Macaca fascicularis: one gene and its partners. The protein of the gene in region 3 purifies or fractionates together with the protein of the main gene of each other region. This does not show direct contact. Links are inferred from orthologs where the notes say so. Each region holds a gene or a part of one and is shown on either strand. Other genes may lie near its edges.

Region 1 (3,574 bases), on a different chromosome or scaffold from region 3:
TGCAGTGAGCTGAGATCCAGCCACTGCACTCCAGTCTGGGCGACAGAGCGAGACTCCGTCTCAAAAAAAAAAAAAAAAAAAAAGTCCAACCATACAAAGAGGTTCATCTGAGCATTATCTATATGGCAATGAACTGAACTTCAAATATATGTAAACTTGAAAACAGCACATATGGCTGGGCAAGGTGGCTCATGCCTGTAATCCCAGCACTTTGGGAGGCTGAGGCGTGTGGATCACCTGAGGTCAGGAGTTTGAGACCAGCCTGGCCAACATGGAGAAATTGCATCTTTTTTTTTTTTTGAGATGGAGAATGAGACTCCATCTCAAAAAAAAAAAAAAAAAGGAAAAAAAGAACAAATTTGGACTAAGATGGCAGGATGAGAATGGATTATTCTTTTCAACATTTTTGTTATATAGTATACTGAAGAGGCAAAAAGCTCTAATTCTCTACATGCTTCATAAATATTCTAACGTGGAAAATGGCATCAGGCATCAGTTGTTATGAAAAGTATACTCACCTGTTTTCCATCCACCTCGATATCTGCCACATAGTTCTCAAACACTGTGGGCACATACACCTCTGGGAACTGGTCCTTGCTGAAGACTATGAGCAAGCATGTCTTTCCACAGGCTCCGTCACCAACAATCACTAGTTTCTTCCGGATGGCAGCCATTGCTGAAACACAAAACACAGATGTTACCTGCAATGCACAAGAAGCCATAGGTAGCTTACAGGCTATGACACATGCTTTGGTAACCACAGGGCATAAGCCTGTATTAGCATACTCAAATTCAAACTTCTAGTACACTGATTCCACCTGGCACCAAAAGGTTATACATCAAAAACTCGTAACTAACTTTATACTTAATGGTAAAACACTGAAAAAAGTCTGCCTCCTAAGATCAGAAACAAGAAAATAATGTATGTTCTTGCTACTTCTTTTTAGATGCAATCTCACTCTGTCGCCCAACCTGGAGTGCACTGGCCCAATCTTGGCTCACTGTAACCTCCAGCCTCCCGGGTTCAAGTGATTCTCCTGCCTCAGCCTCCCAAGTAGCTGGGATTATAGGCATGCACCACCACATGCAGCTAATTTTTGAATTTTTGGTAGAGACGGGGTTTCACCTTGTTGGCCAGGCTAGTCCTGACCTCAGGCGATCCACCTGCTTCAGCCTCCCAAAGCGCTGGGATTACAGGCATGAGCCACCCCGCCTGGCTTGTTTTTGCCACTTCTATCCAGCACGATATTGGAGGTCCTAGCCAGGGCAATAAGATAAGAAAATGAAATAAAAGACATCCAAATTGGAAAGGAAGAAGTAAAACTATCTCAATTCATACACGAGATGATTTTGTAATGTGGGAAATCCTAAAGAAAACTTTTAGAATAAACAAGTTCAGTAAGGTTGCAGGATACAATATTAACACTGAAAAAATCAATTGAGCCAGGCACAGTGGCTCACGCCTGTAATCCCAGCACTGTGGGAGGCTGAGGTGGGCAGATCACCTGAGGTCGGGAGTTTGAGACCAGCATGACCAACATGGAGAAACCCCGTCTCAACTAAAAATACAAACTTAGCCGGGCGTGGTGGTGCGTGCCTGTAATGCCAACTACTTGGGAGCACAAGGCAGAAGAATCGCTTGAACCTGGTAGGCGGAGGTTGTGGTGAGCCGAGATCACGCCATTGCACTCCAGCCTGGACAACAAGAGTGAAACTCCATCTCAAAAAAAAAAAAAAAAAAAAAATCGATGCCGAACACAGTGGTTCATGTCTGTAATCCCAACACTTTGGGAGGCTGAAGCAGGAGGAATGCTCAGGCCCAGGAGTTAGGGACCAGCCCTGGCAACGTAGTGAGATACTGAGAAAGGAAGGACAGAAGCATGAGAGGGGAGGGGAGAAAGAAAAGAAACAAAAGGGCCGGGCGCAGTGGCTCACACCTGTAATCCCAGCACTCTGGGAGGCTGGGATTACAGGTGGAGTGCTTGAGAATCCAGGAGTTCAAGACCAGTCTGAGAAACATAGTGAAACCCTGTCTCTACCAAAAATACAAAAAGATTAGCCAGGAGCGGTGGTGCACGCTAATCACAGCTACTTGGGAGGCTCAGGTGGGATAATCACCTGAGTCCAGGAGATGGAGGCTGCAGTGAGCTGAGATTGCATCACTACATTCCAGCCTGGGGAACCACAGTTGAGACATGGTCTCTAAAAAAAGAAAGAAAAGAAAAAAAAAAAATCAGCCAGGTATGGTAGCATGCACCTCTGGTCCCAGCTACCAAAGAGGCTGAGGTGGGAGGATTGCTTGAGCCCAGGAGGTGGAAGATGCTGTGAGCTACGATTGCACCACTGCACTCCAGCCTGGAGTGACAGAGTAAACCTTGTATCTCAAACTCTTACGACTCAACTACAAAAAAGTAGCTTAGGTTGGTGGTCTGGCTCAAGATCTCTTGCAAGGTCGAAGTCATAAAGAATTCTTTTTGGGCTGGGCACGGTAGCTTATGCCTGTAATCCCAGTACTTTGGGAGGCTGAGGTGAGCAGAACACTTGAAGTCAGGGGTCCGAGACCAGCCTGACCAACCCAGCAAAACCCTGTTTCTACAAAAAATGCAAAACTTAGCGGGGTGTGGTGGCGGACACTTGTAATCCCAGTTACTTGAGAGACTGAGGCAGAAGAATTGCTTGAACCTGGGAGGCAGAGATTGCAGTGAGCCCAGATTGCACCACTGTACTCCAGTCTGTGCAACAGAGTGAAACTGTGTCTAAAAAACAAACAAACAAACAACAAAAAAAAAACAAACTCTTTCCAGCATGAAGTACAGCATGCTATTTATCTATCCATCTATCTTTTTTTTTTTTTTTTCCTGAGATGAGGTCTCACTCTGTCACCCAGGCTGGATGGAATGCAGTGGTGTGATCTCAGCTCAATGCAACCTCTGCCTCAGAGGCTCAAGTGATCCTCCCACCTCAGATTCCCCAGGACCAGGACCACAGGCATGCGCCACCATGCTCAGCTAATTTTGTATTTTTGGCAGAGACGGGATTTCGCCATGTTGACCAGGCTGGTCTCCAGCTCCTGAGCTCAAGTGATCTACTCGCCTCGGCCTCTCACAGTGCTGAGGGATTGTAGGCATGAGCCACTGCCCATCTATCTATGCATCTATCCAATCTATGTATCTATCTAACCTATCTATGTATTTATCTATTACATAGTTATTTTGAGAAAGGGTTTCATTCTGTCACCAAGGCTGGAAAGCAGTGGTGCAATATTGGCTCACTGCAGCCTCTGCCTCTCAGGCTCAACTCAAGTGATCCTCCCACCTCAACCTCCCAAGTAGTAGGGACTACCAGGCTCCTGCCACCACGGGTGACTGATTTTTATACCGATGGGGTTTCACTATATTACCCAGGCTGGTCTCAAACTCCTGGGCTCATGCAGTCCTCCCGATTCAGCCTCCCAAAGTGCTGGGATTACAAGCATAAGCCACTTCACCAGGCCTAAATACAGTATATAGAAAAAATTAAAAAATAAAGAACTTTTACAATTCAATAATAAAAAGACAATCTAATCCAATTCAAA
Region 2 (4,157 bases), on a different chromosome or scaffold from region 3:
GAAGGAGGTGAAAAACCCAGAATATTTAAGAATCCCTGGGTAGCACTGTCAAACTAAATATGCTTCTGTAGGATGAAGAAGTACTGAAATCTACTGATAGAATGTGTGCTGAACACAGGACAGAGAGAAGGCTGAAAAAGCCTGAAAGCCACTTGTTTAGACTCGGAGCTCCTTGAGTGAAGAGACTGTGTCTTGTTTTAGGATTGCTGGTGCCTGGCAAGGAGGAGGTCAACATGTTAACGCTTGCTAAATTGAGAGAAATGTGTCTGGACTACAATTCTTACCCCCGCCCCCCAAAAAGGAAAAAAGATTGTACAAAACCAAATACTTAATTTGAATTCACAAAAACAAATTGAATCACTTAGACTATTTTTCCCCCAATGTCTTTTCCAGTAACCTTGCACAACCCACTCGTGAAGTTTAAGTACCTGTAATCATAAAAAGGTGCATCTAATTTAAAAGGATACAAACATTTTAAAACATAAATCTGTTTTATGCCTATAAAATAGATGGAAAATGAAATAAAATATAAAGTTGAGATACAAACATATTTTTAAAATATTTAAATTTACAAGCAAAGTTTAAAATATATAAAATTGGGTCCGGCGCGATGGCTCACGCCGGTAATCCCAGCACTTTGGGAGGCTGAGGCGGGTGGATCACGAGGTCAAGAGTTCAAGACCAGCCTGGCCAAGATGGTGAAACCTCCGTCTCTACAAAAATACAAAAAAAAAATTAGCCGGGCATGATGGCGGAGTGCCTGTAATCCCAGCTACTCGGGAGGCTGAGGCGGAAGAATCGCTCAAACCCGGGAGGCGGAGGTTGCAGTGAGCCGAGACCGTGCCATTGCACTCCAGCCTGGGAGACACAGTGAGACTCCGTGGGGGGAGGGGGGGGGAGAGTAGGCCTCTACTTTCCCAAATGTAAACAAGACATATACATTTTTAAATTAACTGTATTTCTCTCATAGAACAGTTACAAAATACAATTTTTCTTCAAAGCAAATTTCTCAAATACCCAGCAAGACGTTCACATCTGAAACAAAGTCTTAGGTAGTGAACACTGACTGCAGGCACCAGGGGGCCTCCCAGGAATAACTTGATAGTAAAGGAAAAGGTAAATAAGAGTTCCTGGTAAAACTTTTGCTTCCTATTCAGTCTTAAGACTGCTGGATGGCTTTCACTTCTGGAGCAAATATACAGTATTTAGTTACAGAACGGCTACACACAGAACTTGGGTTTTAGATACCGACACATTCGTTGAAAAAAACGAGTTACCCCTCCCCCATTAAAATATTCTTTGATGATTTTCCAAATATAAGTACATGTTGCTTTACTGTAGCAAACAATTATCTTAAGGTAATTTGAAAGCAAACAGTACATATGCAATCCTTCGATGGCGGCTAACAAAGAGGCCTCTAAATTGTTTAAAAGGGATTAATGGCTTTTCTACACACTCACAAAACAATTAGTGATGACGAACATTTTAGGGTAGAAGGACTGTTTGGCATTTAACTTTGAATAATATCCTGCAATGAATCAATACATTTAACTCCTGGCTTTCCCCCCCCTTGCCTTCCCACCAACATAAAACTATTCGATAAGAACACCAGGGCCCGGAAAGTTCAAATGCTGCGTAGACTTGCAAATACCTTTCGAACACAAGACAGGCTTTAAAAATAGATCTTCACTAAGTTGTGCAGAAATTAAGCTCTGCTCAAATCAAACGCAAAAGCCAACATCTACATACATCACATTTCTTACGTGCATCTTCAACCTGATCAAATATTTTGTCTTACAATTTTTTTAGGCCGAATAACAAATGGTAGATAAATTCCCGCTAATTTTATCCTCTCTAAGAAGAATCCATTCTATGGCATCGTGTAAAAATGCAGAGCAGACGAAGCATTCCTGTTACGGACAGGTTTTTATATATATACATAAAATTCACTCGCGGAACGACAATCGGAGGCAGCCAAGGGCAATGCACAAAGAGAGAAGAAACACTGATTCCACGGACACACAAAGCCCGGTGGCAGGCATCCTCTCCCCCTCCTCGGAGGAGTCACCGGAGGCGAGCACGACGGCGCGCGGAGCCCGGCGGCCTTTCCGAAAGGCTGTCTCCCGCAGACCCGCTCCGCACAGCTGCCGGCCGGCGGGCCTGGCCACCAAGGGTCCGCGGGGACGGCCCCCTCTCCCCCGATTTCCCCTGACCGCGCTCCCGGAGGCCGCTCCCCGGCGCCCAGCAGCCTCCTCGCCCCCTCCTCGGCTGGTCTGCCGCGCCGCGCTCCCAGAGACAGCCTCGGGGCGGGAAAGAGGTCCCCTCGCGTTTCGGCGGCGGAGGTGGACGCAGGGGTCGGCGGCGGCGCCCGACCTCCCTCCGTCCCACGGCCCGGCGCGCACTCACCCTCCAGCAGCCGGGTGATGAGGCTGTCCACGTTCAGCTCCCCGTCCGCCATCTTGTCGGCACAGACTCTCCTTCCCAGCAGCGGGAACAAGGGCTTCTCGGCGGCGGAGGCTGCGGCGACGGCTCGGCGTTCTCTCACCTACAAGTCACGCGGCGTTTCGACCCCGGCTCCAACTCCCCCTTTTCCCGGGCCCTCCCCCCACCCCCTCCCCGCTGGGTAGCGAGAGCGCGCGCACACTCGGAGGCACCCACGGAAAATAAATAAATAAACAAGAGGGGCCCCCACAAACAGGGCCGCGTCAGACCAAGGCCGCCACCTCCTCGTCCTCGGCACCGCCCAGCTCCGCAAAGCTCACCAGCGCCGCCGACGGCCCCACCCGCAGCGCCACTCACTCCGCACGTCCCTTGCGCGCCACCGCGTCACGCAGCTCTCCGCGCAGGCGCCCGGCGCGCTCCCCGCCGAGGTTCCCCTCGACGCCTGGGCCTCCGCGCAGCCGCACTGGAGCGGCTTCTGCCGCCGCCGTCTTCGCGCAGGTGCGTCGCCCTCTCTCTCTACGTCCACGGCGCCGAGTTTCGCCGCCGCGGCGCAGGCGCCAAGGAGGTGCCCGGCTTTGCCGCTCGGAGGAAGCCCCGGTTACGCAGAGCGGGCTGGGGCAGGGCTCACCTTCCTCCTCCTCTGCTTCACTGGCGCTTTCCAGACGTGGTGGTTGCACCCTTTTGGCCTCGCTTTCCTTTTCATGGCTTCATACCTTAGATCTGCAAGCAGTTCCTCGTGTTTCTTCCTAGCCGGGAAACGCGAACTGCAGCGTTTGGAACCCGGGTTTGCGCTTGTGAAAAGCAAGAAGGGGTTAACTCTGCTGGAGTTCGACATTGCAAATAAAGGTCTTTACCCCCAGTGGTTCTACAAAATTAGTTCCGCAGGGATTCTGTTTGAAAGAAGAGTTAAAGTGGGCCCTGTAGGAGTCAGCAATAATACAATTTTACATGGGTGCATATGGCTGCCTGTGTTTAGCGCTTTCACACATCTTGTATCTCCATCCACGCCGTGGGTATCTTTTTTTCCACAGTGTGTTTCTGTTGCTGCTTCCAGTATATTGCTTAATCATCCTACCTGGTAATTATTTATGCATTTTTCTCCCACTCTCGACTCAGCTCCTAGGGGATAAAAACACACTAACTTATCTTTGTGCCCACAGCACCCACCAAATATTTCCATCACGTAATACTGCTTCTAGAAAGGCAGGAGGAGAGGCAGTCACGCTAAGGATCTAGGCAAGCCAGATCTTTTGTCCTGTTTTAGGAGGTGGCCAACCCTTACTTATTCCACAGGTGTTTTTCCAGAAACTCAGATCTGATATTGCCCCAAGTCCAAGGCAGTACTTCCCCCACTCACATATCACTAATAGTAGCTAACATTTGTTCATATCCCTGTTATGTGCTGTGCCACTGTTTTAAATGTTACACCCGCGTTACCTCATTTAATCCTTATAACAGCCCTGTGAGGTAGGTACTATTATTATCTCTGCTTTGTAGATGGGATTTACCGAGGCACAGATGGTTAAAAAACCTAGCCCAAATCACACAAATAAGCAGCAGAGCTGGGATTCAAACCCAGGCATGTAGTGCTAGAGTCTGCATTCTTAACAATTGCGATATTCTCCCTCTCCGTGAATGTGGGCTGAGATGCTGAAACAGGCATGTGCTGTGGGGGAGAAGCAGCTTTGTCCAACCAAGTGCTTTCCAATGTCCAG
Region 3 (4,364 bases):
TTTTAGGTATTCTATGATCTTTTGAGGTTAAATTTTTAAAAAACGATTCAAGGACTATTAAATCAGTGATTTTAGTATTTCGAATTAAGCATGGAAAACAAGCTTAGTTTAGAGATTTTTCTTAAAAGTTTAAAATTTTCTTGTGTGTGTGTTTATTTACTGTCTTTCACTAGCTGTTGTCCTAAATTTGCCCAAAGTGAACTCCCTATTTTCATAGTAACAATGGGAAAAAAGTACAAGAGTTGATAAATAAGAAATGAGAGTGAAGAAAACATAACAAAAATTTTAATGCTTGATATTTTAAAGATTTTGGCTTCATTGATTTAAGGAATTTGCAGATAAGGAAAAATGTTATGGAAAAGGGGAGGCGGTTGGAAATTATCGGGTCAAACACTCATAGTGACAAAAAGTGACAGAAAGGTATTATGCAAATGGTGTAAATTTAGAAACTTCTGTTTAAGTGTTTGTCAACTAAAACAAAATACCCAATAAAGATACAGCTACACAACACCAAACTGACCACTGAATTCAGTTAATCAGGAAGACATTGGTAAGTCTGACAATTCTTGCAACATGTGAATATTGAGAGGAGGAAAAAAGATCTTAAGAAGACAGTTAAATGTATTTTCTCTTCCTCCCTAAACCAGTATTACAACAATGTAAATATCAAAAATTTTCGTCTTCCTCCAGGCCAATACAATTGGGTTCCTCCACAACAATAGTAACTTTAAATTTCTATTTGACGATTTGAATAAAACATATTGATGCGAACAATTATCCAATTATCTTGACCTCCTACAGTAATAATCAAAATCTATTTCACACTAAAACACTAAAACGTGTGAAGTACACTTGAAAGAAATTTGAAGATTCATCTTACATAATTACATTATCATTTTTAATGCCAAAAGTTTCTTTCATTCTCAACACCATGGTTTTAAAATCTTAAGAGTTATGATATGCCTTAAATAAACTTCACCCAAATAAAAAGTTTGCTATGCATTAGAGAATCTAAATTAATGAAATAGAAAAAACGCTAGATACCCTGTTATATTTTTACTGGGTGCCACATTTTTAATTCCATATTTGTCCTGCAATTTGTCAATAATTTCAATGTATCCAGTCAACTTTGTAAACAAAGGCTATACTCCAGGTCTGATACGAGAATTCCATTACATAAAATTTAAAATGGTCATCACTCCCTTAAACAGTAAGCAATACAAGGAAAAATGTCACTACACACCTCTTTTAAAAAGGCATCAAGTTAATATTCATGAAATATAATAAAGCCTTGAGTTTTCAACCTCCCAAACAAGTTTTTACTACAGCATTACTCGAAATAAGGCTATGCATCTTCCACATACAACCAAGGCAACTTTGAGATAGCTTACAAGTCTTTTCATTGTAAGGGAAAGCTATTGCTGCAAAGTCATTTTCTATTATAGTTATTCCAAGTTGCCCGCCAAGAAAATCGAAAAAGCCTATGTCTTGTCACCTATTACCATCACTTAAAAATTGCTTTTTATGCAGAACTCTACATGGTTGTGTTGCTTTTGGCCTGTTAAAGGCAAGGCAACATTATCTCTGGATTGCCAATAGTTTCTCCTTATTTGGCTAACATTGAGAGATCCCAATCAGACTACTATAAAACTTTAACATGCACAAAGCATCCATTTTGAGAAAAGTTTGTGACCAGTCTTTTTTTCTTCCCACCCCCAAAAGAAAAATCAGAGCTTGGTAACCAGCTTTGAAAAGAGTGTCCCCTATTTATTCTTCTCTTTCTAACACCAGTGCACACCCCAGGACCTGGGGCTCAAGATCTCTGACATTGCGGCAAACTTCGAGTATCAGACTCAACACGTTCCGGTCCGGAGGTGGGCAAACCCTTTAGAGGGCTTCCTTACTCTACCCATTTCCATCCCCTTCCTTTCAGCCGGTGCAGATCAGCTAATTACACCCTGTTTTCCCCTCCCCAGTGACCAAGAGTAATAAATGAGAAAACAGGAAATCGTTCGCTCAGGGCACTCGGCTTAGGGCTCTAGATTACTATTATCATCATCATTTGTAATCAAGTCCTCAAAAGTGCAACAAATCCAATGCCTACCTACAAGTCAAAGATGTTCATCTGCCTAAGCGTCCCTAATGCCTCTTGTTAGTTTTCTTCCTTCAGCATCCACCCCTCCGAATTTATCACTGACACGGGGGCCCAGGCACAACCCCACTACACCCCTCCTTGTCTCGACCCCAAATCCCAGACTCATCGCACCAATGGCCCTGGGGCCCCAAGACGACCACAGTTCCTTTTCCCCTGTGCCCCGGAAATCACCCGGTTCCCAACTTCACCAGCAACTGTTCTGAAGGGGGCCTCAAGCCCAGCGCCCTCCCCTCCACCAGCTCTCCCTCCCGCCCTCTCGGGAAACCGCCCCCTCACCCCGCAGCAGTCTCCCGCCGCCCCCAGCCTCAAGAGGTGGAGAACTGAGGGCAGGCCCCGGCGGGAGGCCGACGAGGACCCTCAGGGTCAGGAGAGCCGGCGACTGGGCGCACAGACCTGGTGCAGGGCAGTGAGTCCGTCCACATTGGCGTAATTGATGTCGGCGCCGCGGTGCAGCAGCTTGAGGACCTCGTCCGTGTCCCCGCTGGAGCAAGCAGCCAGGAAGACGGCGCCATCGTCGAACTTCACCTTGGTCTTCTGGCGCTTCACCACCGGAGGCTCGAGGTCCGTCTCGGAGCCGATCCAGCGCTTCAGCTGCTCGTTCCGCTTCTGCTTCGCGTCCGCCATCTTCATCCCCTCTCCTGCCGCCGGGTCTTCTTATCGCGAGGGGTGGAAGGGGGAGGCGGAGAGGGAAGAGAGGGGAGGCAGGGGGTGTGTGAATGTTTCTATGAGTGAGGGCCAGAGGAAGGCTGGGAACCGGGAGGAGACGCTCGAGACTTCCAGTATCCCACAGAGCACTGGGGCGGCGCGCCCGGCCGAGCGGACCTCCCTTCCTACAACAGAAGCCCTCCCGCCCCCAGCACGGCCACCCGTCACCGGCGGCCAATCTAACGTAACTTCGCGAGATCCGGACTGGGAGGTGCCCTTCGACCAGTGCGCATGCGCCCTGGGCCTGCGCCCGCCCCAGGAAAGGCGCTCCCGCGAACTGCGGCGGGGGTGGCTGGGCCACCGGAGGGAAGCGGGTGTGGCCCAGGCAGCGGGGGCTGGGACAGACCTGGAAAGGAGGAAGCGGGGAAGGAAGGTTGTCCTGCCGGGCTGGGGGCTCCCGGTAATCCGGAGGCCAGCAGTGGAACTGCAAGGGTCTACAGGGCAGATCTGCCTCCCGGCCTGTTTCAGCTACGCCGAGTCGTTGGCTCAAGGCGGAGGATTTTCCTATTGGCTGCGTTATTTGAATGGAATGGAGGATAGGTCGTGAAGTAGGTGCTGGTGGTTGCTCTAAGGAACTCAGATGAACTTGGGCATGTCAGAATTAACCTTTTAAAAGTGAGGTCTGTGTAGCCGAGGGTTTTAATGGTAAGTTCTTGAGGTGACCACCTATTGGCCAGGGTTGACCTGCGGTAATTGCGGTGGCTTCCTGCCAACCCCCACTTTAGAAATGTTTTTCCTCTTCTCTTTACTTTTGTTTTGCTTTCTCTCACGCTTGAGTTCTCTTCCTTCAGTGCTTTAAGCCTGTTTCGTAGGACCCATGAGGAGCTTAGCTCAGCCTGATTACTGGTCCTTACCTTTTAAGGGATTTCTGGTTACAGCTCCATCTCTTTCTAAGGAGGGTTAGAGACCTAGCTGCGTCTAGTATTTAAACGGAATGTTAATGAAGGCTATTAATTCAACCACTATTTTTTGAATACCTACTATGAGCCAGTAACTGTACTAGGCACTGAATATACAATGAAAAATATGACATTTATTTGAACCACCTCTTGAGTTCACTTGCCCAAACAAGACTGTAATTTATCATCTTCATAAAAAAAGACTTTAACTTTGCCTTGTATGACCACACGCGCACACACATAGGATTTGTAATACTGATGTCTTATGAGCCATCTATCTACAATCTCCACCAATTGATTTTACTGAACACTATATCGTTATTATCCACTACTATTTTTAGAGCATTTAGAAAAGTCAAAAACCACAAAACCTTACCATGGAAGATTAGGGGTCGTCTAGATTGAGTCCCTCAAGAACTAGATAATTTACTTAATTTTACCCAGAAGTAGGATTAGAATTCACTCAGCAAATACTATGCACCTGTTCTGGGTAAGGCATTGTTTTGGGTGCTGGAGATGGAGCAGTGAACAAATAAGCTTTTCTTACTGTCAGCATAATGCCTTTTCCAGTAGACTACACAGCCTATCATATTGAGAAAATTATT

What was found.
Region 1: the proteins of PPP1R12A (region 3) and RHOA fractionate together in Homo sapiens (co-fractionation; 3 studies listed by BioGRID and IntAct, with this or other methods). This does not show direct contact. The link is inferred for Macaca fascicularis from reciprocal best matches to the Homo sapiens genes PPP1R12A and RHOA.
Region 2: the proteins of PPP1R12A (region 3) and PPP1CB purify together in Homo sapiens (affinity purification with mass spectrometry; 6 studies listed by BioGRID and IntAct, with this or other methods). This does not show direct contact. The link is inferred for Macaca fascicularis from reciprocal best matches to the Homo sapiens genes PPP1R12A and PPP1CB.

Annotation. Positions count from the first base shown.
Region 1 is NC_088376.1:112,372,616-112,376,189, forward strand, and holds part of RHOA (transforming protein RhoA), read right to left. Parts: intron 3,493-3,574; exon of another isoform or gene 3,401-3,492; intron 677-3,400; 5' UTR 675-676; coding exon 519-674; intron 1-518. UniProt on the Homo sapiens protein: Small GTPase which cycles between an active GTP-bound and an inactive GDP-bound state.
Region 2 is NC_088387.1:93,467,735-93,471,891, forward strand, and holds the start of PPP1CB (serine/threonine-protein phosphatase PP1-beta catalytic subunit), read right to left. Parts: upstream 2,841-4,157; 5' UTR 2,800-2,840; exon of another isoform or gene 2,763-2,799; intron 2,754-2,762; exon of another isoform or gene 2,546-2,753; 5' UTR 2,459-2,545; coding exon 2,407-2,458; intron 1-2,406. UniProt on the Homo sapiens protein: Protein phosphatase that associates with over 200 regulatory proteins to form highly specific holoenzymes which dephosphorylate hundreds of biological targets.
Region 3 is NC_088385.1:86,746,261-86,750,624, forward strand, and holds the start of PPP1R12A (protein phosphatase 1 regulatory subunit 12A), read right to left. Parts: upstream 2,802-4,364; 5' UTR 2,786-2,801; coding exon 2,549-2,785; intron 1-2,548. UniProt on the Homo sapiens protein: Key regulator of protein phosphatase 1C (PPP1C). Mediates binding to myosin. As part of the PPP1C complex, involved in dephosphorylation of PLK1. Capable of inhibiting HIF1AN-dependent suppression of HIF1A activity.